Elephas maximus indicus: one gene and its partners. Each later gene encodes a partner of the first gene's protein in a complex. Links are inferred from orthologs where the notes say so. Each region holds a gene or a part of one and is shown in the gene's direction. Other genes may lie near its edges.

What was found.
Region 2: POLR3G (region 1) and POLR3D share a complex: the UniProt entries of both Homo sapiens proteins name them as parts of the RNA polymerase III complex. The link is inferred for Elephas maximus indicus from reciprocal best matches to the Homo sapiens genes POLR3G and POLR3D.
Region 3: POLR3G (region 1) and POLR3K share a complex: the UniProt entries of both Homo sapiens proteins name them as parts of the RNA polymerase III complex. The link is inferred for Elephas maximus indicus from reciprocal best matches to the Homo sapiens genes POLR3G and POLR3K.

What each region holds. Positions count from the first base shown.
Region 1 is NC_064820.1:97,122,111-97,129,385, forward strand, and holds the start of POLR3G (DNA-directed RNA polymerase III subunit RPC7), read left to right. Parts: upstream 1-4,191; 5' UTR 4,192-4,345; intron 4,346-4,356; exon of another isoform or gene 4,357-5,020; 5' UTR 5,021-5,109; intron 5,110-7,275. Other genes in the region: acyl-coenzyme A thioesterase MBLAC2, read right to left, coding at 3,234-3,687. UniProt on the Homo sapiens protein: DNA-dependent RNA polymerase catalyzes the transcription of DNA into RNA using the four ribonucleoside triphosphates as substrates.
Region 2 is NC_064840.1:52,465,552-52,473,577, reverse strand, and holds the start of POLR3D (DNA-directed RNA polymerase III subunit RPC4), read left to right. Parts: upstream 1-4,945; 5' UTR 4,946-5,154; exon of another isoform or gene 5,155-5,193; intron 5,194-5,333; 5' UTR 5,334-5,338; coding exon 5,339-5,503; intron 5,504-6,768; coding exon 6,769-6,812; intron 6,813-7,459; coding exon 7,460-7,611; intron 7,612-7,748; coding exon 7,749-7,873; intron 7,874-8,026. UniProt on the Homo sapiens protein: DNA-dependent RNA polymerase catalyzes the transcription of DNA into RNA using the four ribonucleoside triphosphates as substrates.
Region 3 is NC_064830.1:57,373,817-57,381,429, reverse strand, and holds the start of POLR3K (DNA-directed RNA polymerase III subunit RPC10), read left to right. Parts: upstream 1-4,558; 5' UTR 4,559-4,653; coding exon 4,654-4,764; intron 4,765-6,845; coding exon 6,846-6,933; intron 6,934-7,613. Other genes in the region: RHBDF1 (inactive rhomboid protein 1), read left to right, coding at 83-127, 254-329, 394-494, 596-749, 912-1,241, 3,163-3,303; SNRNP25 (U11/U12 small nuclear ribonucleoprotein 25 kDa protein), read right to left, coding at 2,368-2,425, 2,842-2,916, 3,404-3,509, 3,653-3,743, 4,167-4,208. UniProt on the Homo sapiens protein: Core component of RNA polymerase III (Pol III) which synthesizes small non-coding RNAs using the four ribonucleoside triphosphates as substrates. Can mediate Pol I proofreading of the nascent RNA transcript.

The sequences.
Region 1 (7,275 bases):
TTGCTATTTTTTTTAGGAAGATACTAGTTCACTACTGTCATGGATTTAATTACGTCCACCCAAAAACGTGTGTATCAACTTGGTTAGGCCATGATTCCCAGTATCATGTAGCTGTCCTCCATTTTGCAACTGTAATTTTATGTTAAGAGGATTAGGGTGGGATTGTAACACCACTCTTACTCAGGTCACTTCCCTGATCCAATATAAAGGGAGTTTCCCTGGGGTGTGGGCTGTACCACCTTTTATGTCTAAGAGATAAAAGGAAAGAGAGCAAGCAGAGAGTTGGGGACCTCATACCATCAAGAAAGTAGCACCAGGAGCAAAGCACATCATTTGGGACCCGGGGTACCTGCGCCTGAGAAGTTCCTCGACCATGGGAAAATTGAGGACAAGGACCTTCTTTCAGAGCTGACAGGGAAAGGATGCCTTCCCCTGGAGCTAACGCCTTGAATTTAGACTTTTAGCCTACTTTACTGTGAGGAAATAAATTTCTCTTTGTTAAAGCCATCCACTTGTGGTATTTCTGTTATGGCAGCACTAGTTGACTAAGACAACTACTAACAAGGTGAGTTGTTTTTCTGACAAAAATAACGACTTTAGTGATATGGCTATTTTCTCCCTCGTACTCCTTGTAGCTACCTCGTTTACGAGACAACTTTTGGATCAGTGATACAGAATACAGATTTATCATTCCCCACGACAAACAGTGCACTAAATGAAAAGTAATTAAGGAAAAAAAAAAATGAATTCCATCTCCTTGTATTCTAACCAAAGCAATGAAGACCTTATCTTAAGAGCTCTTTGAGTACGAGTATGTAACTGTGTATGAACTTTTAATATAAATGTTTTATATCTCCTTCTAGGCATGTGGAGTCTGTTAATAACAAGTTAGCAGACCACATCATTTAGAAGATACAGGAAAGTAATATCCTAAGAAGAGAGGAAATCAGGTACTGCTTGAGAGGGTGAGGAAACCCTGGTGGCATAATGGTTAAGGGCTACGGCTGCTAACCAAAAGGTCAGCAGTTCGAATCCACCAGGCACTCCTTGGAAACTCTATGGGACAATTCTACTCTGTCCTGTAGGGTCACTATGAGTCAGAATCAACTCAATGGCAATGGGGGAGGAGTGTGTCAGAGAGTGAGGCTTCTGACTCCCAAAGAAAAACAACTTTTGATAACACAGTATTATCGTCTTGAAAGCGTTCGGTAAATATTAAGCTTTCTTTCACACTTTAAAAAGGCTTAAAGTGTCACACAAGTAGCTTGCAGTCTCTTTACACCTCCAAAACACTGATTATACCACGTACTGGGATTTTAGGTTCTAATGGGAACTAGGTTCTAGTTCCAACTCTTTCCCAAACTGGCTATGTGATCTCAGGCACAATAGTCAGGCCTGTTTTAAACTCTCTCTTCCTCTATAGGGGCCCTGGTGGCACAGTGGTTAAGAGCTCAGCTGCTAACTAAAAGGTCAACAGTTTGAATCTGCTAGCCGCTGCTTGGAAACCACATGGGGCAGCTCTATTCTGTCCTAGAGGGTTGCTATGACTCAGAACCATCTGGATGGCAACAGATTTTCTTCATCTATAAAACAATAATCCCTATCATTTTTTTATCCTTGATTTCCCATTGCTGGCATAGGATCAAAAGTAATCTTCAGAACAATTCAAATATATTTTAATACTAATGTAAATATTTTTTGTTGTGAGTGCCAGAACTGAGTCTGCATACCCATCAACTGTGCCGAAATCTTACCTCTGAAAGTATTAATTATATCGAGAAATACAAGAACCAAAAGTAAATTTAATGTAAATGTATTTCTCCTGTGCCTCATAATGTCAGGTAACATAAGATTCCCCCATCTAAATCAGTTCTTCGATGAAAAAACTTTTTAGTGGGGGAATGAGATGTTAATTTTCCTTTCTATTTTTTTAGCATCTGAGATGATCAAAACCCTGTCCATAAGATAAACTGGTTTTTGTGTTATTTCATTTTTTGTGATATTGTTTGGTCATAAAATGAGCTTTAGTACCTTACTGTACTTCAGCAGCTGGATTTTTTCTACCTCACACACCAAAACACCAAACCTGCTACTGTCAAGTTTATTTCGACTCATTAGTAACGATGGTGTCAAAGTGAAAAGAAAAGGTTTCGCATCCTACTCAGAATTATAATATTTCTGTGGTAGGATTTATGTATGTTCTGCACGCTTTCATCTATTGTACCTTGGTTCAAATCCTAGCTTTTGTCACTATTTTGTTTTGTGGATCTTAGGCAAGTCATTTTATTGGATGCCAGTGTTTTTCACTTCGAATATGTTAAGGATAAAATGAGATTAAAAAAAAAGTATTTAAAAATAAAAAAGGAAATTAATATGCCAGATATTGCTCCTGTGGCCAATTACCTCAAGTATTTAATTCCTGAGGGTGGGAACAGGTTGGGGCCTTACTGTGTTTTATTCCATGAGTTTTTCTCTGAATCCTATTCCGTCCTTCACAGAGCCAAAGAGAACTAGGACTATCTATGCATTAGGCTACATACTCCACCACCACCAGAAGCAATCTCCTTATTAATCCTTCTCGAATTTTGCTTTCGACCACAACAGATATCTATCTTAACACAAGACTCAAAGCATATTCTACCCTTATGTTTACAATCAAGCTTTTTCTCTAGTGAGGCAACAGCAAGATTAGAAATCTGGAAGGTAGGGTTGCATGATCAGATTGGAACCTCTGCACTCTGACAGCTTTCTAAGCCTACAGGTGGAAATTGCTCGTACTAGGTGGTGACCGAACAGATAAAGTCAGCGTTTCTCAAAAGCATAGAGCATGACACGCACTTTGTGAGGTGTCATTCGTTGGAAGTCTTCTAGCTACAAAAACACCCAGAAATGTCAGAAAGGTGCCTGGAAAAGGAATGGGAAAGCCTCAGTCACAAGTCCCCGTAGTCTTACCACTATTCATGACACAAGAAACTGACTAGGGGGTGGGATCGGTTTTCACCGCCCTTCTAGGAACCGCTTCAAGGGGCCAAAGCTGGTCTCAGGTAGGGAAGACTGTGATTGCCGTGGCTCTGGAAAGGTGGGCATTTACTCGGGGAAAGCTAAAACAGAAATGGCGTTTCTGTGGTGTGCTAAAACGAGCCCCCATTACAGCCATGCAGGTCTGCAACATGCATCCCTCGGACATCCCCTCTCTCAATTAGACAGCGCGCGCCCATGGGGGGACTCATTACCATCCTGCAGGATGAGGGTGGGCTGCACCGCCTGCACTCGGAACTGCCTGGCCCTCCAGCCAGGGCTGGGCGCTCGCACCACTTCGCTGTCGGACAGCCATGTCACCGTTTCAAAGTTGTCCCCGCGAGCCAGAGCCTCGGCCTCAGCGTGGTGCACAGCTACCCGGTCAAACTGGTAGAGGCCGCCGGAGTGGTCGAAGTGCACGTGTGTGGCCACCGCTAGCAGAGGCCGGCGTTCTGCTTCGTCCTTGGCCCCGCGGTCCTGCAGGAGGCCGGAGGAATACAGGTATTCAGGAAGACTGCGCAGCCCCAAGCCGGTGTCGATCACCACGTCCTGCTCCGAGCCGCGCACTAGCCAGATGTTGGCCCGGTTGCCCGACTCGTAGAAGCGTTCCTGAATCCAGAAGATACCGTCGCCCAGGGACTTGTGGGCATACCACTCGAGCGCCGACATCCTGGGCAGGGGTGCGGCCGGGCGAGGTAGGTGTGGGCGTGTGTACCTCCTGCACTGTGGCCAGACCCGCGACTCTGCGGCGGTTGTGGCGCTGTCTGCCCGCAGCCTGGGAGCAGGCGCAGAGCGAGGGGCGGAGGATGCAGGGAGGTGCAGGGGGAGAGGTAGGAGGAGGTGGGGCCCCTCCCGCCAGGTCAGCAGAGCGCGGGGGCAGCACTAGCCGCACTCGGGCGCAGGAGCAGTAGTAGCCTGTGCAACCGCAGCACGGGAGCCACTGCACAAGAGATACTTTCCCCACCCCGGGGGGTCTGACTGCAGAGACTGAGCTGTGGGAGGCTGCACCAGGCCTGTCCACCCCCAACGCGTCTCAATGCTCACTCTCATGCGGCACGGAGTCAGGCCAACCGGTTAGACGGCGACTACGGCGCCTGCCAAGGGCTAAAAAACTCTTGGCTCAGGGGGTGGGGCTTAGCTAAGGGGTGGGCGGGGCTAGTTGGTTGGAATCCTAACGCGGTTCCGGGGCCGCGTGGAGGGCGGAGCGCGCTTTTGCTAAAGTGGTACCAGCGGCCCGAAGGTTCGGCGCCCTCTGCTCGCACCCTTTCTTTGCCGGCCGGCACTTCTGCTGCATAGTTTTGCCAAAGCCACGAGCCTTAGTGACCAGGTAACGAAGCAAGCAATCGGGGCCTTTGGGCGAGCGTGAGGACCATAGTGGGGAGTTAAAGGGGCACGTGGAGTGGATGGGGGTAGTCAGGAGTACAGATTCTTTAAAGAGCCCTTGCTTTGAGGCGCATTGGGAGATAGCTTTACCTGTCCTTTTCCTACTCCCCTAAAAATCACATGAAATCGTCGTTTCCATATCTTACCTGGCCTGCATTTCCTGGGACTGTTTGCAGTGAGTTAGAAGGGAATTTGTTTTTATTAGTGGGAGGAGATGTACCAGATCCTGGGATTTGGCATATAATTTTTTTAGGCACTAGTCATTGCCGCAGACTTACAGCTGAGGACAGTGTTTTAACTGTTGATACTTTACCCCGTATCGTGGGACTCATAATAAGGTTTTTCTTTTCTAAAAAACGAAATTCTATATTTTTTCTCTCCCTCCTTTTATTTTATTTTTTGGCTAGTTTATCGGCACTTGGAAGAGAGCAGAGAAAGTTAGTATAAAGGTTCGATTAAGGAAAGGTGGAGGCAGCTTGTGAGGAAGGAAAAAGCATCTATTAACAGGGTGTGGCCTGCGAGCCACACAAATCACCTCCACTGTTCATGCCTGATCCCTATCCTATACCTCCCCACCCCCTGCACCCCGTCCTCCTCCAGCTATTAAACGTTCGTTTAGGCTTCAAAATTCCCGTGAGAACTTGACTGACCTCCCCATTCGGCAGCAGAAAAAAGTATTAAGGGACCCATGAGACAGCATTATAAAAGGTAATTATGAAAACCTTTTTGGCAACTGTACTAATAAGCCTCATGGAAAGAGAGGTTTACTCTCTTGCTTACCTTGTGAAGGTGCTTGGTGGGATGTGGCCTTTATGAAGATTTTGTTAATCAAGTTAGAGATTTATCCAGTCGCTCCTTTGGGGGCATTCATTTTGTTGTTGTGAAGAGAGTAAAACATACACCCATTCACCCGTTTCTACATGTACAATTAAGTGACATTATTACATTCTTCAAGTTGTGCAACCATTCTAACCGTCCTTTTCTGAGTTGTTCCTCCTCCATTAACATAAACTAACTGCCCTCTAACGTTGTTGTTGCTTTGATCCGGTATAGATCTTAAAAGAGCATAATGCTCAAGGCAGACATTTTTGACTAAGGTAAACTATTGTTTGGTTTTACGAAGATTTCAGGGGATATTTTTGGTTTAAGTTTTAAAATTATCTCAGGACAGTAGTTTTAGGGGTTCATCCAGCCCCTTTGGGGGCATTCTTATGTGTAAGTCCCTGAGCTAGATTCTGTGTGAAGAACAGAATTGTGTAAGAAAGATATGATCTGGGTACTTAAGAATTTGAGGGATGATGATATCAATATACAAATATTTGCAATACAATGCAGTGTGTGATATTTACCACAAAAAAACCCAAACCCATTGCCATGGAGTCAATTCTGACTCATAGAGACCTTAGTACAGGGTAGAACTGCCCCACAGTGTTTCTAGGCTGTGATTTTTTTTTTTTTTTTAATTTTTAATGTGCTTTAAGTGGAAGTTTACAAACCAAGCCAGTCTCTCATACAAAAATTTATATACCACTGCCGTCCTAGTTGCTCTCCCTCTAATGAGACAGCACAGTCCTTCCCTCTAGTCTCTATTTTCGTGTCCATTTGGCCAGATTCTGACCCCCCGTGCCCTCTCAACTCTTTTCCAGACAGGAGCTGCCCACATAGTCTCATGAGTCTACTTGAGCCAAGAAGCTCACTCTTCACCAGTATCATTTTCTGTTCCACAGTCCAGTCCAATCCCTATCTGAAGAGTTGGCTTTGGGAATGGTTCCTGTCTTGGGCTAACAGAAGGTCTGGGGACCATGACCTCTGGGGTCCTTCTAGTCTCAGATGGACCATTAAGCCTGGTGTTTTTATGAGTATTTGAGGTCTGCATCCCACTGCTCTCCTGCTCCCTCAGGGATTGACTGTTGTGTTCCCTGTCAGGGCAGTCATCGGTTGTAGCCAGGCACCATCTAGTTCTTCTGGTCTGAGGCTGATGTAGTCTCTGGTTTATGTGGCCCTTTCTGTCTCTTGGGCTCATAATTACCTTGTGTCTTTGGCGTTCTTCATTCTCCTTTGATCCAGGTGGGTTGAGAACAATTGATGCATCTTAGATGGCCGCTTGCTAGCTTTTAAGACCCCAGACACCACTCTCCAAAGTGGGATACCGAGTGTTTTCTTAATAGATTTTATTATGCCAATTGACTTAGATGTCCCCTGAAACCATGGTCCCCAAACCCCTGCCCCTGCTACACTGGCCTTCGAAGCATTCAGTTTATTAGGAAACTTATTTGTTTTTGGTTTAGTCCAATTGTGCTGACCTCTCCTGTATTGTGTGTTGTCTTAACGTAGGCCGTAAGTTTTACGGAAGAGATTAACACGTTTCTCTCATGGAGATGCTGGTGGGTTTGAACTGCTGATCATTTGGTTAGCAGTGGAGCGCTTAACCACAGCGCCCCCAGGGCTCCTTATATGTACCACAAACCTAACCCTGTTGCCGTCAAGTCAATTCTGATTCATAGCAACCCTAAAGGACAGAGTAGAACTGCCACATAGGGTTTCCAAGGAGCTCCAGGTGAATTCGAACTGCTGACCATTTGGTTAGCAGCCGTAGCTCTTAACCACTACACCACCAGAGTTTCCTATATGTACTACAGAGGAAGTAAAATTGAGGTGCTATAAGAGTACAGATGGAAGGGATTGTTGAGGAATGACATTGTTGAGAAGCTGCCTTAAAAGACAGTTATGTGTTAGGATATTCTTGGCAGGGAAATACAGTGCTTACTATAGTTTGGATATTTTTCCTCTAGGAAGTGAAATGGAGTGATATCCTTATTAGACCATGTGCTCAGCACTAATTCACCCAATATTTTATTGTACTTTTGCCAGGCT
Region 2 (8,026 bases), on another chromosome or scaffold:
TTTACTGTGAAGAAATAAATTACTCTTTGTTAAAGCCGTCCACTTGTTGTATTTCTGTTATAGCAGCACTAGATGACTAAAACAACTTAGAATATTTAATAACTCAGAAAAATCTTTGTTAAGAGAGAAAAAGCAGGATATAGCACCATATGTAAAAATACCTTAATTTTAAAAACCTATATGCATAGAAAAACCAACATCAAATACATATAAAAATTGATGTGATAATAATAGATGATTTTCATTTCCTTCTGAGTGCTTTTTAAAATCTTCTAAATTTTCTACAACGAACAAATATCTTTTAACACAAAACAAAAAAATTAGGAGCTGCCAAAAGGCTGGTGGAGCCCTGGTGGTGCAGCCGTTAACAGCTCAGCTGCTAACCAAAAGGTCAGCAGTTTGAATCCCCCAGCCGCTCCTTGGAAACCCTATGGAGCAGTTCTACTCTGTCCTGCAGGGTCGCTATGAGTCAGAATTGACTCTACAACAACGGGTTTGTTTGTTTTTTGGTAAAAGGTTGGTGGACATTAAAGCCCAGAGAATCAAATCAAATAAATTTCATCTAGCGCTTCAGTCAGAAGCTAAGGAATTCTGTGTGTAGGGATTTTATTTGGTTATCATGAAACCGATATGGAGAAGACAAGTTGAAAAAAATCTGGTTAGGCACCAACAGAATACAATACTAATATAGTATTAAATTGGCAAAAACATGTCTAAAATTTTAAGAGCCAATACTGAAAAGGATATGGACAAACATTATAGGTACTCTTTTTTAAAAATATTTTTATTATGAAAATTTTCAGACATGTAAAAAGATAGAAACAGTACTATTAAAAACAACCATATATTTACTAACTCATACTTTATAATTACTGACTCTTTATCCATCTTCTCTCCCACTTTTCCACCCCCATGTTAAGTTAAAGTAAAATCCAATACATCAGTTTGGCAAGTAGCCTCTGGGGTCTCAAAAGCTTGTGAGCAGCCATCTACAATACACCTATTGGTCTCTATTCATTTGGAGCAAAAGAGAAAGAAGGAAACCCAAGAATCAGAGAAGGAACTGGTCTACAGGACTAATTTTCTCCATAAACCACAGTCTCCTCTACTTTGACACCGGAAGAGCTAGATGGCTCTTGGATACTGAAGTCCCGATTAGCAACACAGTAGATGAATCCTAATAGAAAGGGAGAAAAATGTGGAACAAAACTTCAAATTCCCCAGGAACGCATACTTATGAGACTGGAGGAATCCAAGGGACCATTGTCCTGAGATACTCTTTAAACTCTGAACAGAAAGTATATCCTGAAGTTACCTTTTAACTAAATAGCAGGTTAACTCAAAACAAAAAATGTCAATCGAGTACTGAGCTCTTTTAAAAAATTAACTATATGTGCCCAAATGGACAACCAAAGCAAGCAAAACTAAACCCATTGCCACAGAGTTGATTCTAACTCATAGTGACCCTACAGGACACAGTAGAACTGTCCTGTAGGCTTTCCAAGGTTATAAATCTTTACAGAAGCAGACTGCCACATCTTTCTCCTGCAGAGCAGCTTGTGGGTTTGAATTGCTGACCTTTAGGTTAGCAGTCAAGCGCTTAACCGCTGCACCACCATGGCTCCTGTCAATGGACAATGGTTAAAATATGGATGAGAAGGTTTAGGGGCTGTGAGAGAAGGTTCATGGGAATGGAACAACTAGAATGGAAATAATAATGTTGACACAATGCAAAAAATCTAACCAATGTCAATGAACAGTATGTGTGGAAATTGTTGAATGGGAACCTATTTTGCAGTGTGTATGTTCACCAAAAATACAATATTTTTTATATAAATCATAGCATTTCATAAAATGACAATGGCAACAGAATTTGAGAAGACTGAAAACAGATGGAAGAGTGGTAAAAGACTTAGGAGACCAAGAAAACTGACTCCTAAGGCAGTAATGAGGGCACCAAGAGCCAAACCAGTACTCACTGAGGCGCTCATAACCAGTTAGCTCCAGGTTCCTTTTGAAGTGGAGGTGAGGAAAAGGGGAACTAGCCGGAGGAGGATGGGTTGCAAGTCTGCTTAAAAAGCAGTCAGATCCCCAGATTCCCTTCCCAGCTCTATGAAGTTAGGCAAACGCTTCTCTCCTACCAAGGCAAAAACCTGCAAATGTATTCTCTGGAGAAAGCAAAGCAGGTCTCTAGGGGGCAGGCGAGTTATGTTATATGCACTCTTATATATTATACGGAAACGCTGGTGGTGTAGTGGTTAAGTGCTACACTGCTAACTAAAATGTCAGCAGTTAGAATCCACCAGGTGCTCCTTGGAAATCATATGGGGCAGCTCTACTCTGTTCTTTAGGGTCGCTAGGAGAAGAATCAACTCGATGGTTTTTTTAAAAAATATGTTATATAGATATTCTTGTATGCATATATTTAGTAGTGATGCATTATCAGCACAATCCTTTTTTAAAGCAATTTAGCAACATGGAACCATCAAATGTACCGCCACTGTGGAAAAGTTTGGCAGTTTGTTATAAAACTAAGCATACAAGTCATATGACTGAGGCATTAGTGGTTCTGTGGTTGAATTCTTGCTCAGCCAATGTGCCTCGTGTGCAGCCACCATGCTGTCAGTGGAAGCTTGTGTGTCACTACAATGCGGAACAGATTTCAGTGGGGCTAGAAAGGCATGGTCATCTACTTCTGAAAATCAGCCAATGAAAACCCTATGGATCTCAAGTTCTGACCCGCAACGGATCATGGGGATGGTGCAGGACTGGGTGGCATTTCATTTTGTTATGGATGGGGTCATCATGAGTTGGGGGCAACTCAACAGCAGCATTTATCCCAGAGAAATGAAAATCTATGCTTACTCAAAACCTATACGCAAATGTTCATAGTAACTTTACACATAACAGTGAACAACTGGAAACAACTCCGATATTCTTCAAAAGGTGACTGGTTAAGCTGTGGTACATACATACTATGGGTAGGGAACAATAAAAAAGAATGAATTATTGATACATGCAACAACTTGGAAAATCTCTAGGGAATTAGGGTGAGTGAAAAAAGCTATCCCAAGGAGTCACATACTGTACGAGTTCACTTATATAACATTCTTAAGATAACAAAATTATAGAAATGGAGAACAAATCAGTGTTTGTCAGGGGAGGGTGAGGATAGGGACAGAGGTAGGCATGGCTATTAAACGGGCATATCTTGACGGTATCAATGTTACTATTCTGGTTGTGAGATTGTACCATAATTTTGTAAGACATTACTATTGGGGGAATTCCAGTAAACCGTACTTGGGATCACTCTGCACTATTTTTTTTTTTAACAACGGTGAGTATATCTATAATTATCTCAAAATATAAAGTTCACTTTAAAAAACTGCACATGTTCTTTAGGTCAGTTACTCCAGCTCTGGACATCTGACCAAGGGAATAACCCAAAAGAAGAAAAAAACATTAAACGAACCAGATGTTCACCGCAGAGTTATTTACAACCGAGGGAAAAAAAAAAAAAAAAAAAAAAAATCTAAGTGTCCAAACAACAGGGAAATAAATCACGATGTACCTGTCTGTTTCCTAGTGCTGCTGTAACATATACCACAAGTAGGTGGATTTAAAGAACAGAAATTTGTTTTTGTCACAATGTAGGAGGCTAGGAGTCCAAATTCACTGCTCTTTGTCCAGTCTGGTGGGGGGGTGGTGGTGGTGGTAAATTCCTGTCTCAGTTTCAAGTCCTGCTTGCTCAGTGATCTAGAGGTATCCATTGCTTTGCTTCTGTGTCTCTTCTGCTTTTTTATAACTCAGAAGTGATTGGGTTTAGGACACACCCTACATTGATATGGTCTTATTAACATAACAAAGAAAACCTTAATTTCCAGACAGAATTACATCCACAGGTACAGCGATTAGGATTCCAACATATATTTCGGGGAGACACAATTCAATCCATAACAGCACACGACAGAGAATTACTCATTTGGATGCAGCAAAAGAAATGTTCTTTGAAAAAGCATACAAAATTGTGGTACAAGAGGTTCTGGTAAGGATACAGGACTGTATTACCAAAACTTTAACAGTAGCACTCTATGGTGGGGTCGCTGAGCCGGAATCGACTCCACAGCAGAGAATTTTTTTTTTTTTTTTTTGGTTATGGTGGAATTCTAACAAATACTTTCCCTTCCCCAAACTTTCCGTAATGTTGTTACATGGTTTTATATGCTGTACAGTGAGGAAAGTGTAACATTAAAGGACATTTTTTATGTCAAACTACAAGCGTCAAAGTCACAATAAAAAAGTTATTTCACTTCGCCTCTCCTGCAAAATTTTTCATTTTTCAGGTACCTTCCAGGCTTTAACCAAGAGCGCACACAAGAACCTGCACAGTCGTGAGCCCAGCAGGTTCGTCCGCTGCAGCTGCTCCAGCGCTGCCCCGACAGCCCCACACCAGGACCCCACCAGTTCAAAAAAGGGGCCTCCGAGCGACAGCAAACGCGAGCGAAGCCACTGCCTGGAGGTACAGTGACCACTCCAAGGTCACCATCTGGAGTCCACAGCGGCAACCGCCGCGGCCACGGCTCGGCCCTGCCCCAGGGCTTCCCGAATGTGAATCCGGGTCTCGCTCTCTGCCCCGCGCCCCATCCGAGCTGCGACCCCATTGGTTCCACAGGCTCCGCCGAGGCGAATCCTCACGTTGTGGCGTGGCGGCTGCCAAGGACCCCAGACCCTGAACTCGGCGTCCCCACGTCCGGTCCCGGGCCAGACCCCTGAGCACAACATCTTACTGTAACCCAGACCCGTCCTCTCATCCTTTTTCGCCCTCTCAACCCAGCTTTTCCCGACTCCGGGAAGAACCGGGAAGAGAAGGCGGAGGGGAGCGAGGTGCCGCTTGATAAATACTGTGCCCCGGCCCCGCCCACCGGACCTCACTTCCGCCCCGCGGCAAAATGGCGGCGCCCGGGCCCTGCCACGCAGACTTCCGCCTAGCGCGGAGACTGAGTGCCAGCCGCGGCTCGTGTCGGAGGTGAAGTCGTGACGCGCGTGGTGTAGAGCCGCAGCCCGGGTGCTCCGGGTGCTCTGGAGTGCGTCCCTGCCTCGTGCTTGGCTGGAGAGCTTGGGGAGAGGGCGAAGGGCAGCGGACCGGGGTCGCGAGTAAAACCTCAAACCGGGTGGTCCAGGGAGTCTTGCCACGTGAGAGGGGGAGGAGCTGAGACTCACGAGGAAGGACACACTGTCTGGGGGGCGGCAGGCCACGTGGTTGGGTTACGCCTAGAGTTCGCGTGTCCGCACCCTCGGGTGACTTTGTTGCCCTTTTTCTCATTCTCTCCCAGGCAGTATGTCGGAAGGAAATGCTGCGGGCGAGCCCAGTATCCCCGGAGGGCCCCGACCCCTTCTCTCTGGACCCCGGGGGCTTATCGGGAGGCGGCCAGCGCCCTCTGTCACCGCGGGCCGCCTTCCCTCTGTCCGCTCCAGGGACCTCACCCTCGGGGGAGTGAAGAAGGTAGCCTTGCTAAAGAGACCCAAGTACCTTGAATTCCAGGTTCCTGGGATTCAGCTGGAAACCCTGGTGTGGGGCAGTTCTAAACTGTCTTATAGAGTGTCCATGAGTCGGAATTCACCCGACGGCAGTGGGTTGGGATGCAGCTAATACTGATGTGGGGCCTACACTGTGCCAGGCGTGGTGTCTAGCCCCCCATGAATCTTGTGCTGAGACTTCTGCCTACGCCTCTCTAAATTCTGGGGATCTTGTTGAACTTTCACGTCTAGTGTTGGGTACGAGATGTTGGGATGGTTCCCAGAGGTGACTGAAGGACCAAAACAAAACCAATCGCATTGCTATGGAATCCATTCCGACTCATAGCCCACTCTGTAGGACAGAGTACTGCCCCATAGGGTCTCCAAGACTGTAAATCTTTATGGAAGCAGACTGCCACATCTTTCTCCCATGGAGCAGCTAGTAGGTTCAAACCACCCACCTTTCTACTTTTGGTTAGCAGCCGAGTACTTAACCACTGCACCACCAGGGCACCTCACAGAGAATCCTAATGAGTCCAAGACTCAAAAGCAATTTGAGCAGTGTTTCTTTACTTTGTGTTTGAAACACCTTTGAGAAACCCAAGAAAGCCAGGCAGGCATAAATGTGTGTCTGCAATTTTAGGGGGTTAGGAATTCTCCATGTATCTGGGTATGCAACTTCTGATCTGTCCTGTAATGAATCAAGGCATAGCATTAGAGGCTCTGAGTTCCCTCATGTTATATTTATGCCTATAGATGTAAAGGGTAGCCCTGAAGAGGAGGGGAAAAAAAAAGAAACATAAAGCAGCCAGTTTTTTAGAACTTTTTGTCTTGGGAAATTCGGGTGACAGTCTTAACTGTATCCTCTGAGTGTGAGCAGATCTCCTATTGAGCCTTGCTGTTAGAGCAGCTTTCCTCTGATGTTGACTGGTTTCTAGAGTAGTTCGAAGACAAGAGATGAGATGAGATACATTCTTTAGCTTTTAGAACTTTTCAGAGGGCAGAAGCTGAGGCTGCTAGTTAAAATGGTTTTTGCTGTCCCGATCTGCTTTGTATAACTCACTGCTACCGCGGTATGATGTTGCTCTTTGGGTCCATGTCTACCTCTAATCTCTGACAACAGTGTCAGATGTGTGGAAGAGAGCTAGGATGAGCTTGGTCCTTAGAAGATGCCCTTTGCGAGTTTTCATTTTCCTCTGTATTTTGGGGTTAGAACTTAACCAATCAGTGACTCCTGTATTTTACTTTCAGAAAACCTTTACCCCAAACATCATCAGTCGGAAGATCAAGGAAGAGTAAGTAGCTGGGCCTCTGAATACCTGCCCCTCATTTACATGCTCTGAATTTGGAGCTTTACTTTGTATGTTTGGGACACACAAAAGTAGGTGGCTCAGAAAATTAAACTTGTGTATTTAGTTATTTTCATTAGTGACTTTCAAGCTTAGCTTCCAGGTGATTCAGGTATGCAAGCTTTAAAAAAATATTGATGCCTGGTACCCAATCCCTAGAATTGTAATTTAGCTTTCTCAGTGAAATGGAATGTTTCTCTTACACGGCCAGAGTTGAGAGCTGCTAGTTTACACAGAGACGTAGTGTTTTCCCTTAACGTTCATATGTATTACAGCCACCTTGTTTTCAGTCAGCTCAAAAAAAAAAAAAAAAAAAAAAAAATACATATTTGGGGAGTTTCTGTAGTTCAGCATTTGAGTTATAGTTCTGACATATACTCTTAAAAAGGTAAAGTAAAGCAAATTGAAATTACCCTGCCCCATTAAGGAAGTGAAAAAGATGCTAGACCTAGGGATAACTTCTGCTTCTCCTCATGATGTAACTGCTGGCTTATAAACTCTGCTTAGTTGGAATAGAGTGGCGTGGGAGAGTAAGATAAGTTCTCTGAGGCAAGGTGAATGAGTGATTTCCCTTAGTCCATTCTCTTTTCCAGGCCTAAGGAAGAAGTAACTGTCAAGAAGGAGAAGCGTGAAAGGGATAGAGATCGACAGCGAGAAGGACATGGACGTGGCCGGGGTCGCCCAGAAGTTATCCAGTCCCACTCCATCTTTGAGCAGGGCCCAGCTGAAATGATGAAGAAAAAAGGTACAAGGCTGCTGGGGCTCTGAGAGGAATAGCAGTGGATTTTGGTTTAGACTACCTGAGAGAAATTTCCCTGCTCTCGGTTTACTTTTGGTGTCGGTCTCTTCCTTATCCGTAGTGACTTGGGTGATTTTCCATAGGGAACTGGGATAAGACAGTGGATATATCAGACATGGGGCCCTCTCATATCATCAACATCAAAAAAGAGAAGAGGGAGACGGATGAAGAAACAAAACAGATCCTGCGCATGCTGGAGAAGGATGATGTGGGTACCAAGGTCTGGGGAGGAGGGGCTATGGTGTGGCTGTGGGAAAGGGCTTTTGGGGAGCTAACATTAGGGGAGGAAGAGTTCTCTAGTCTCCCAGAATCTTGGTGAGAAGCAGGAATCTTTGGTTAGAAAGGGACTCAGGTAGACTCC
Region 3 (7,613 bases), on another chromosome or scaffold:
CATGAGGATGTGTGTACGTGGCTGCGTGCAGCTGGTCCCCAGGCTCAGCATTGGCGAGGGACTATGCCCTTCTCTCTCACAGAATTCCGAAACAATCCAAGACACCAAGGGGAATGTGCTTAAAATGGTCTGGACTTACCTGGGGTCATCAAAGGCAGGCGGGTGGGTGGGGGGCACATGCCTCTGACCCTGGGGCCTCAGTAGTCCCCCCTACCATGGGGGGCACCCTCCCACCCTCAGCCTGACTTTCCAGGTGTGAGATCACCTCCCGGGAGTACTGTGACTTCATGAGGGGCTACTTTCACGAGGAGGCCACACTTTGCTCTCAGGTAGGTCTTGGGGCAGAGGGTGATCCCCCCCGCCACCGTGGGTGCTAATGGCCACTCTGTGCAGGTGCACTGCATGGATGATGTGTGCGGGCTCCTGCCCTTCCTCAACCCTGAGGTGCCCGACCAGTTCTACCGCCTGTGGTTGTCCCTCTTCTTGCACGCAGGGCAAGTGACACACTGGGCATGGTGGGGTGTGCTGGGGAGTGGCCAGGCTGGGATGGCAGGCTCCCACCGTCCTGAGTATCCCCTCCCCTCCCCCACCTCAGGATCCTGCACTGCCTGGTGTCCGTCTGCTTCCAGATGACCATCCTGCGGGACTTGGAGAAGCTTGCCGGTTGGCACCGCATCTCCATCATCTACCTGCTGAGTGGCATCACTGGCAACCTGGCCAGTGCCATCTTCTTGCCTTACCGTGCAGAGGTGAGGTGTCCCTCGGGTGGGTACACTCATGCACATCTGTCCACGTCCAGCACTGGATCAGGTCCCTCTGTTTGGCCCTTGGTTCTGATTGGTTCCAGGCCAGGGAGGTGGGGCAAGAGGAAGTGAGACCTGGGTCAGCTCCGGTGCCTCGAACCCCCACAGGTGGGCCCGGCTGGGTCGCAGTTTGGCATTCTGGCCTGCCTCTTTGTGGAGCTGTTCCAGAGCTGGCAGATCCTGGCGAGTCCGTGGCGTGCTTTCTTCAAGCTGCTGGCTGTGGTACTCTTCCTCTTCACCTTTGGGCTGCTGCCTTGGATCGACAACTTTGCCCACATCTCTGGCTTTGTCAGTGGCCTCTTCCTCTCCTTTGCCTTCCTGCCATACATCAGCTTTGGCAAGTTTGACCTGTACCGCAAGCGCTGCCAGATCATCATCTTCCAGGCCGTGTTCCTGGGGTTGCTCGGCAGCCTGGTGGTCCTCTTCTACTTCTACCCTGTACGTTGTGAGTGGTGTGAGTTCCTCACCTGTATCCCCTTCACTGACAAGTTCTGTGAGAAGTACGAGCTAGATACGCAGCTGCACTGAGCTAGGCCCGAGGGGTGGGGGCTGCAGCCATGCTCCAGCAGGCCTGGAGCCCGGTGCCAAGCCTGCCTCTGCCCTTGCTGGCTGGCCAGATCATGTTTCTGAACACAGACCTCTGTGCCTTGTTCACTTCTGTTGAACCTCTCATGTCACCATGTTTGTTACACTAATGCCCATAATCACCTTCTAACTAGTCTCTTTTGACAACCACCTCACGCGGCCAGTAAACGAATGGGAGCGTTTTAGCTGCCGTTACCTTAATCCTAGCTGCCTCCTCCTTCTGGGATCCGATCGTGTGGCTGTGGAGGGAGGTCCTTCAGCCGGGTGGATGCACGGTGCCCTTCCTTTGGTGACTGGTAGGTGATGGTGGGGTGGGGTGCCCCAATGATGCCCTTGCCCTCAGCCCTGCTGGAGAGCCCCCATGCTTGGTCCAGCCAACAGCTGTAGTTTCAGTCCCATGCTCCCTCCTTTTCACCCAGTGAGCCCCAAGGGGCCTCTGGTCCAGCCCATATCTGTGTTACACACATTCTACCCTGGTCCCACAAACAGAAACAAAGACAGCTGCTCTGCTTGTCCCCCTTGCTGTACAGATCACGGCATGAGCAGTTTGCCATCTGGGGAACCATGCAGCCACAGGGCACAGGTGGTCACCCTGGACCTCAGGGCCCATGTGTTCCAACCCTGCTCCCTTTCTCCACCTCCCTATGGGGCAGCATTTGTACCTCCTGGCGGGGGTACTCTGGCTTTTTGACTTTCAAACTAAAAAGCAAACATTTATTTTGTATATGAGGCTGTCCTGTGGGATCCACATGTAGTCAGGTTTGGGCCTCAGGAGGGCTTCAGATCAAGTAAATGGAAGAGAAATGAGGACCTGACAGTCATGGAGCTCACATTGTTGGTTCCAGATGGGGGAGGAAGGAGGAGGCAGAGCACAACTGGGGTGAGGCTGCAACCTGCCTTTCTGTGAAGGAGACAGTGGCCAAGGGTAATGTCCTGAGGAGAAGAGTTTGTCCCCCACACCTCTGTCCTTGCTGGAGGCTCACTTTTGTCTCAGCTTTTTGATAAAGGAGACCTCATCCCGATTCCGGATGCCGTAACTGAAAGAGAAAGAAAGGTCGGATGTGTCTGATGGGCAGAAAGATACACCAGTGACTCCTACCTGGGGCCTGTGAAAAAGAAGGGAAAGAAAGGGGAGAAGAGGGGGTGGTGCCAGGGAGAAGGAGGCAGAGCGAGGAAGCGGCTCATGCTGTTCAGTGGGTGGCCCTTCCCCTCTACATGCTTACATTTCCCTCCATCTGACCTGTGCACATCCACAGGACCCTGATGTTCTCACAGTGGTGAGAGCCAGCCAGGACTGCTGTAGCCAACTCCTCTGCCTGCCCTTTTAGTGGGGATGGCTGAGATCCGGCACATAGGTGTTTTTGGGAAGCCCCTTCCTTTACGAGAGTACAGGGACTAGAGGCAGACAAGGACCAGACACCCCTCAGCAGCTCAAGATGTGGCCAGGACTTACTCTCGGAGCTTCTTCCTGTCTTCTGTGAGCTTTTCTCCCACAAAGGTCAGATAATAGGTCCTCCACACGTAGGACCTGCAAGAGGGAGACTCAGGAAACAAGGAGTTCTCTTCCTGCATGATGTGCACACCAGGCCTGAAGGAGCTACAAGGGGCACTGGTCCCAAAGGGCTGCATAGGGGTCGAACACCCTTGGCAGAAATGCACTGGTGCAGAGTAGGGGAGAGAGAGAGAGAGAGAGAGAGAGAGGGAGGGAGGGAGGGAGAGAGGGAGGGAGGGAGGGAGGGGTGGGCCCTGACCGAGCAGTGCTGTCTGTAACCAGGGAGACCATTTCATGTCACACTGGAAATGCCTAAAGGTGCCCCCAAGTGAAGAGTCAAGCAGCGGAGGCGGGACAACACAGATGAGCATGTTTAGAAAGGAGGCAGTGGCAGGAATCCATGGAAGACCTGTCTCTGCCTGAAAGAGCTCGAGACAGGGCACTCACCCCTCAGTCATGGCAGAGGACCAGAGAGCACAGGTCCAGCACGTGTGCATGCTGGCTTGGGAATTGCTCCACTCACCAGCTGATGTGCTGAATACCCCCTTCACGCTCCTGCCGCAGCTGCACATATCTTTGGATGGCCTTCTTCAGGTCCAGGACTGTGGCGTTCTGCACGACGACCACAGCTGCAGCCAGGGATACAAATGGGAGAAGACCTCAGGTCAGTGGGTACCACAGGCCAACCTCGGGGCAGGGCAGGTTCGTGGTGGCCTTGATGTCTCTGGCAGCCCTGAGAAAGCACAGTGGCAGGGAGGAGGGCATCACTTACGCATGACCTCTCCGTCCATCTTGCACACACAGACAGTCATGGCCTGGCCATACTCCAGTGCTATCTGGGAGTTGACCTCTTCCAAAGTAACCTGGAAAAGACAAAAGTGGGGTGCTCTTCTCATCATCCCAAATGACAATGAACAAAACAAGTTGACAGAGGCCAAAAAGGGGTGTCCATATTTTACGACAAGCAAGTAGAGGAAAGGATCCTTGCTTATATTAGGGCTCGCAGTTCTTCAGCACCCCGATCTCGAATTTCACCCATACTTTTCAAGTTTAAGGATCAAAGTGGACAGAGGCTCCAGTAAAAGAAGGGCACAGAAACAGGGTCGCTATGAGTCGGAACCGACTCGACGGCACCTAACAACAACAGAAATAGGCAGGAAAATGCGCCCTCCGAGGACCAGCCCTGTGCTTCCTCCAGCTCAGGGGCTGCAATATCCACACGACCTCGGGGTCCGCTCCCCGCCGCTCCTGCCCCGGCCTCGCTGGGAAAGACCCCGGCTGCGCACCTGGATCGGCAGATCGCAGAGCAGGGGGTCCTGCACCACCATGGCGAGACCCTCCTGGAACACGTCCACCACCTCCGAGTGCGGGAGCGCCTCGTCGTCGTCCTCGTCGACCTCCGACGCCTCGGGACGCGCCTCAGCCTCAGCCCCCTCCAGGGCTGCGTCCGCCGTGGGTCTCTCGCCCCGGCCAGTCGGCGAGAGGAAGACGAATTGCGTGCACAAAAGGACTGTGGACCGCAGAGCAAGCCTGGACAGCCATTGGTGCGCTTGGGGGCGGGGCGGGCCACCTTGACCAATGAGAAGTGCAAGACCGTCTGCTGCTGGGCACGCTGGGAGCGCGAGGCCAGCGTGCCTATTGGTGGCCTGAGGAGTGCCTTGCCTGGGCCAATGAGAGCTCGAGGCCGGGCGAGCGCCGGCGCCCAGCGGACGCGGAGGTTGCCGGGAATCAGGATGCTGCAGGGGCTGGCGGAATCGGGCTGATTCGCCGGCTATGCTGCTTTTCTGCCCGGGCTGCGGAAACGGGCTGATTGTGGAGGAGGGGCAGCGCTGCCACCGCTTCGCTTGCAATACCTGCCCTTACGTGCACAACATCACCCGCAAGGTGGGTCCCACCCTCACCCGCTATCCGCTCATGCCCATGTCGGCTCTGCCTTTGAGACGATCGGAGCCAGCCTCTAATCCCGTAGAACAGTCCCGGGGTTATCGCAGAAAAATGCTGGCTAGGCTCCCTGCGCAGTGTGCTCTTCACTGAGCCGAGTCAAGTCCCAGCAGTCCGTGCTCAGAAACCTCCAGTGGTTCCCGGCCGGCTGGGAGTAAAAGCAGTTCTTACAGGGCACCCCCAGGCTCTAGCCCTGACCCCGCCCGCCTGCTTCTCGGATTTCGCCTCCTCACGTCCTTCTCCCTCTCGCTCTTTTTCCCTAACAGCACCGGCCACTGCGGTATCTCCCGTCATGCTCCGGCGCTGCTACCTGCAGGGCCTTTGCATAGGTTCTTCAGCTGGGCGCACTTTTGCTCTGGATCCACGTGACTTGGTGGTCCCGTCTTTACTTAAATGATTACACTAAAGTTACAGCCCTCTCAATTTTATTCTCCTACCCGGTTTTATTTTTTCCATGGGACACGTACCTTCTAATATACTTTATAATTTACTCATGTGCTTTGTTTATTAATACTAAAACATAAGCTGCAGGAGTGCAGGGAGTTTTTCTCTGTTCTGTCCCTTTCTGTATCCTAGTCTGAATGCCTGGAATGGAACCTGCATTAGAATGGGTGTTTAGTAAAAGAAGGCTGCATACTGTACTATAGGAGCCCTGGTGGCACAGTGGTTAGGCGCTAGGCTGCTAACCCAAACGTTGGCGGTTTAAACCCACCAGCTGCCTCTCGGAGAGAAAGATGTCGCAGTCTATTTCCGAAAAGATTTACAGCCTTGGAAATCCTATGGGGCAGTTCTCTGTCCTAGAGGGTCTCTCTGAGTTGGAATTGATTCTGTGGCAATGGGTTTGGTTTTGGGTATACTGTATTATAAGTGGACAATATTTTAGTATTTTTCCATTGATAATACATCTTGAGGAGCCCTGGTCGTGCAGTGTTTAAGAGCTATGGCTGCTAACCAAAAGGTCGGCAGTTCAAATCCACCAGCTGCTCCCTGGGAAACTCTATGGGCAGTTCTACTGTGTTGTATAGGATTGCTGTGAGTGAGAATCAGTGCAACAGCATTGGGTTTAATACATCTGGAACACTATACTTTTCAGAAGTAGAGTATGTTTGTGCTGCCTCAGTTTTGTTATTTGCATACACTCTAGTGTATAACTGTGTTGTGGGAGTTTAGAGTCCCAAAAGACGGGAAGAGCGAACCCTTATGTAACCCTGAAAGTTTCAGGGATGTCTGATAAAAGAAGCCAACTGTAAGCTGCTTTGAAACCTCTCTCTACCTGGGTGGGGGGTGTCTGGGCTACCCAGCTAAGTGGTATTCTTTGGTTTCCATTTTATACGTTTCTCTCATATTGGATTATCATGTGCCCTGGAGAGGTGGGAGAGAAGGAGGGCCACACCTAACCCATTTTTCTTCCTCTGATCATCCCAGGGAAACCCTGGTGGCATAGTGGTTAAGTGCTACAGCTGCTAACCAAAAGGTCGGCAGTTTGAACCTGCCAGGCGCTCCTTCGAAACTCTATGGCACAGTTCCACTCTGTCCTATAGGGTCGCTATGAGTCGGAATTGACTCGACGGAAATGGGTTTTTTTTTTTTTTTGGTAATCCTCCCAGAGATCTGTGACTGCTCAAACTACCCCTCTCCTCTTGGTGGGCAACCTGTTCACCAGAAAACCAAACCCACTGCCGTTGAGTCGATTCCGACTCATAGTGACCCTATAGAACAGAGTAGAACTGCGCCATAGAGTTTCCAAGGAGCACCTGGCGGGTTCAAACCGCCGACCTCTTGGTTAGTAGCCAGCAGCCATAGCGCTTAACAACTATACAACCAGGGTTTCCAACCTGGTCACAGGTTCTCTATATTCACAGCCCTGGCCTGTGAGAGCAGGAACTTTGTTGTTATTTACTGTTCCTCCACTGCTTGTTGGAGGAAGCAAGTCTGGGAAGACACCTGAGGACTGTTCTGGTTTGGTGGCCCAGGGTTTGTACCAATCACTTCCTTGGAGAGTCTGAAGACTTTTTGTTTGTTAGGTGACAAATCGGAAGTATCCCAAGCTGAAAGAAGTAGATGATGTACTTGGGGGAGCAGCTGCCTGGGAGAATGTCGACTCCACTGCAGGTGAGGGGAGCTCTTTTCATTACAAAGCTGTAGAGAATTACAAGGCTGCCCGCTGCATCTCCATGTCAGAGTCTGTAACGGTGTACTTCTCATGGGGCTTCTAAAAGTAGAAGTCATACTGTGTGCTTTCTTCTTTAAAAATTTATTCGTAAGACACATAATATTGGTATAACCCTTGGAGTCATACAGACTGGGTTAGATTCTTGGTGACTTTTTGTCATGGGGCCTTGGTGAGCCCCTTGGCCTCTCTGGGGCTGATACATGCTCATGGGCTGTGCAAAGATTAAGTGAGTTTTACAGCGCTTGAGTTCAGGAAGCACTCAGCAGATGGTAGCTGGGGTCACAGTGGCAATAAAAATCAGAGTATAAGGAGAAAATATGGTCTTTTTGTTTGAATGTTTAAATGTTTAATCACTCCTTGCCGAGAGAGATAGCTGTGACCAGGGAAGGAAAGAGGAGAGCCCCAGATCTAACCTGTATGGAGAGGGGGAAGTGCTAACTCAAGGTTAGCACTCCTTTTTCTGTCCTATAGAGAGGAACATCCAAATTCGCTAGGTTAAAGATTAACATCTGCAGAATCTGCTGTGGAAAGATGAAATGTGTGCTCAGTGTTGGGAATGTTCTTTTTAGAGGGCTGTCAGTTTCTCAGAGTGACATCTTGAAGGTAAACATGTCCCTTG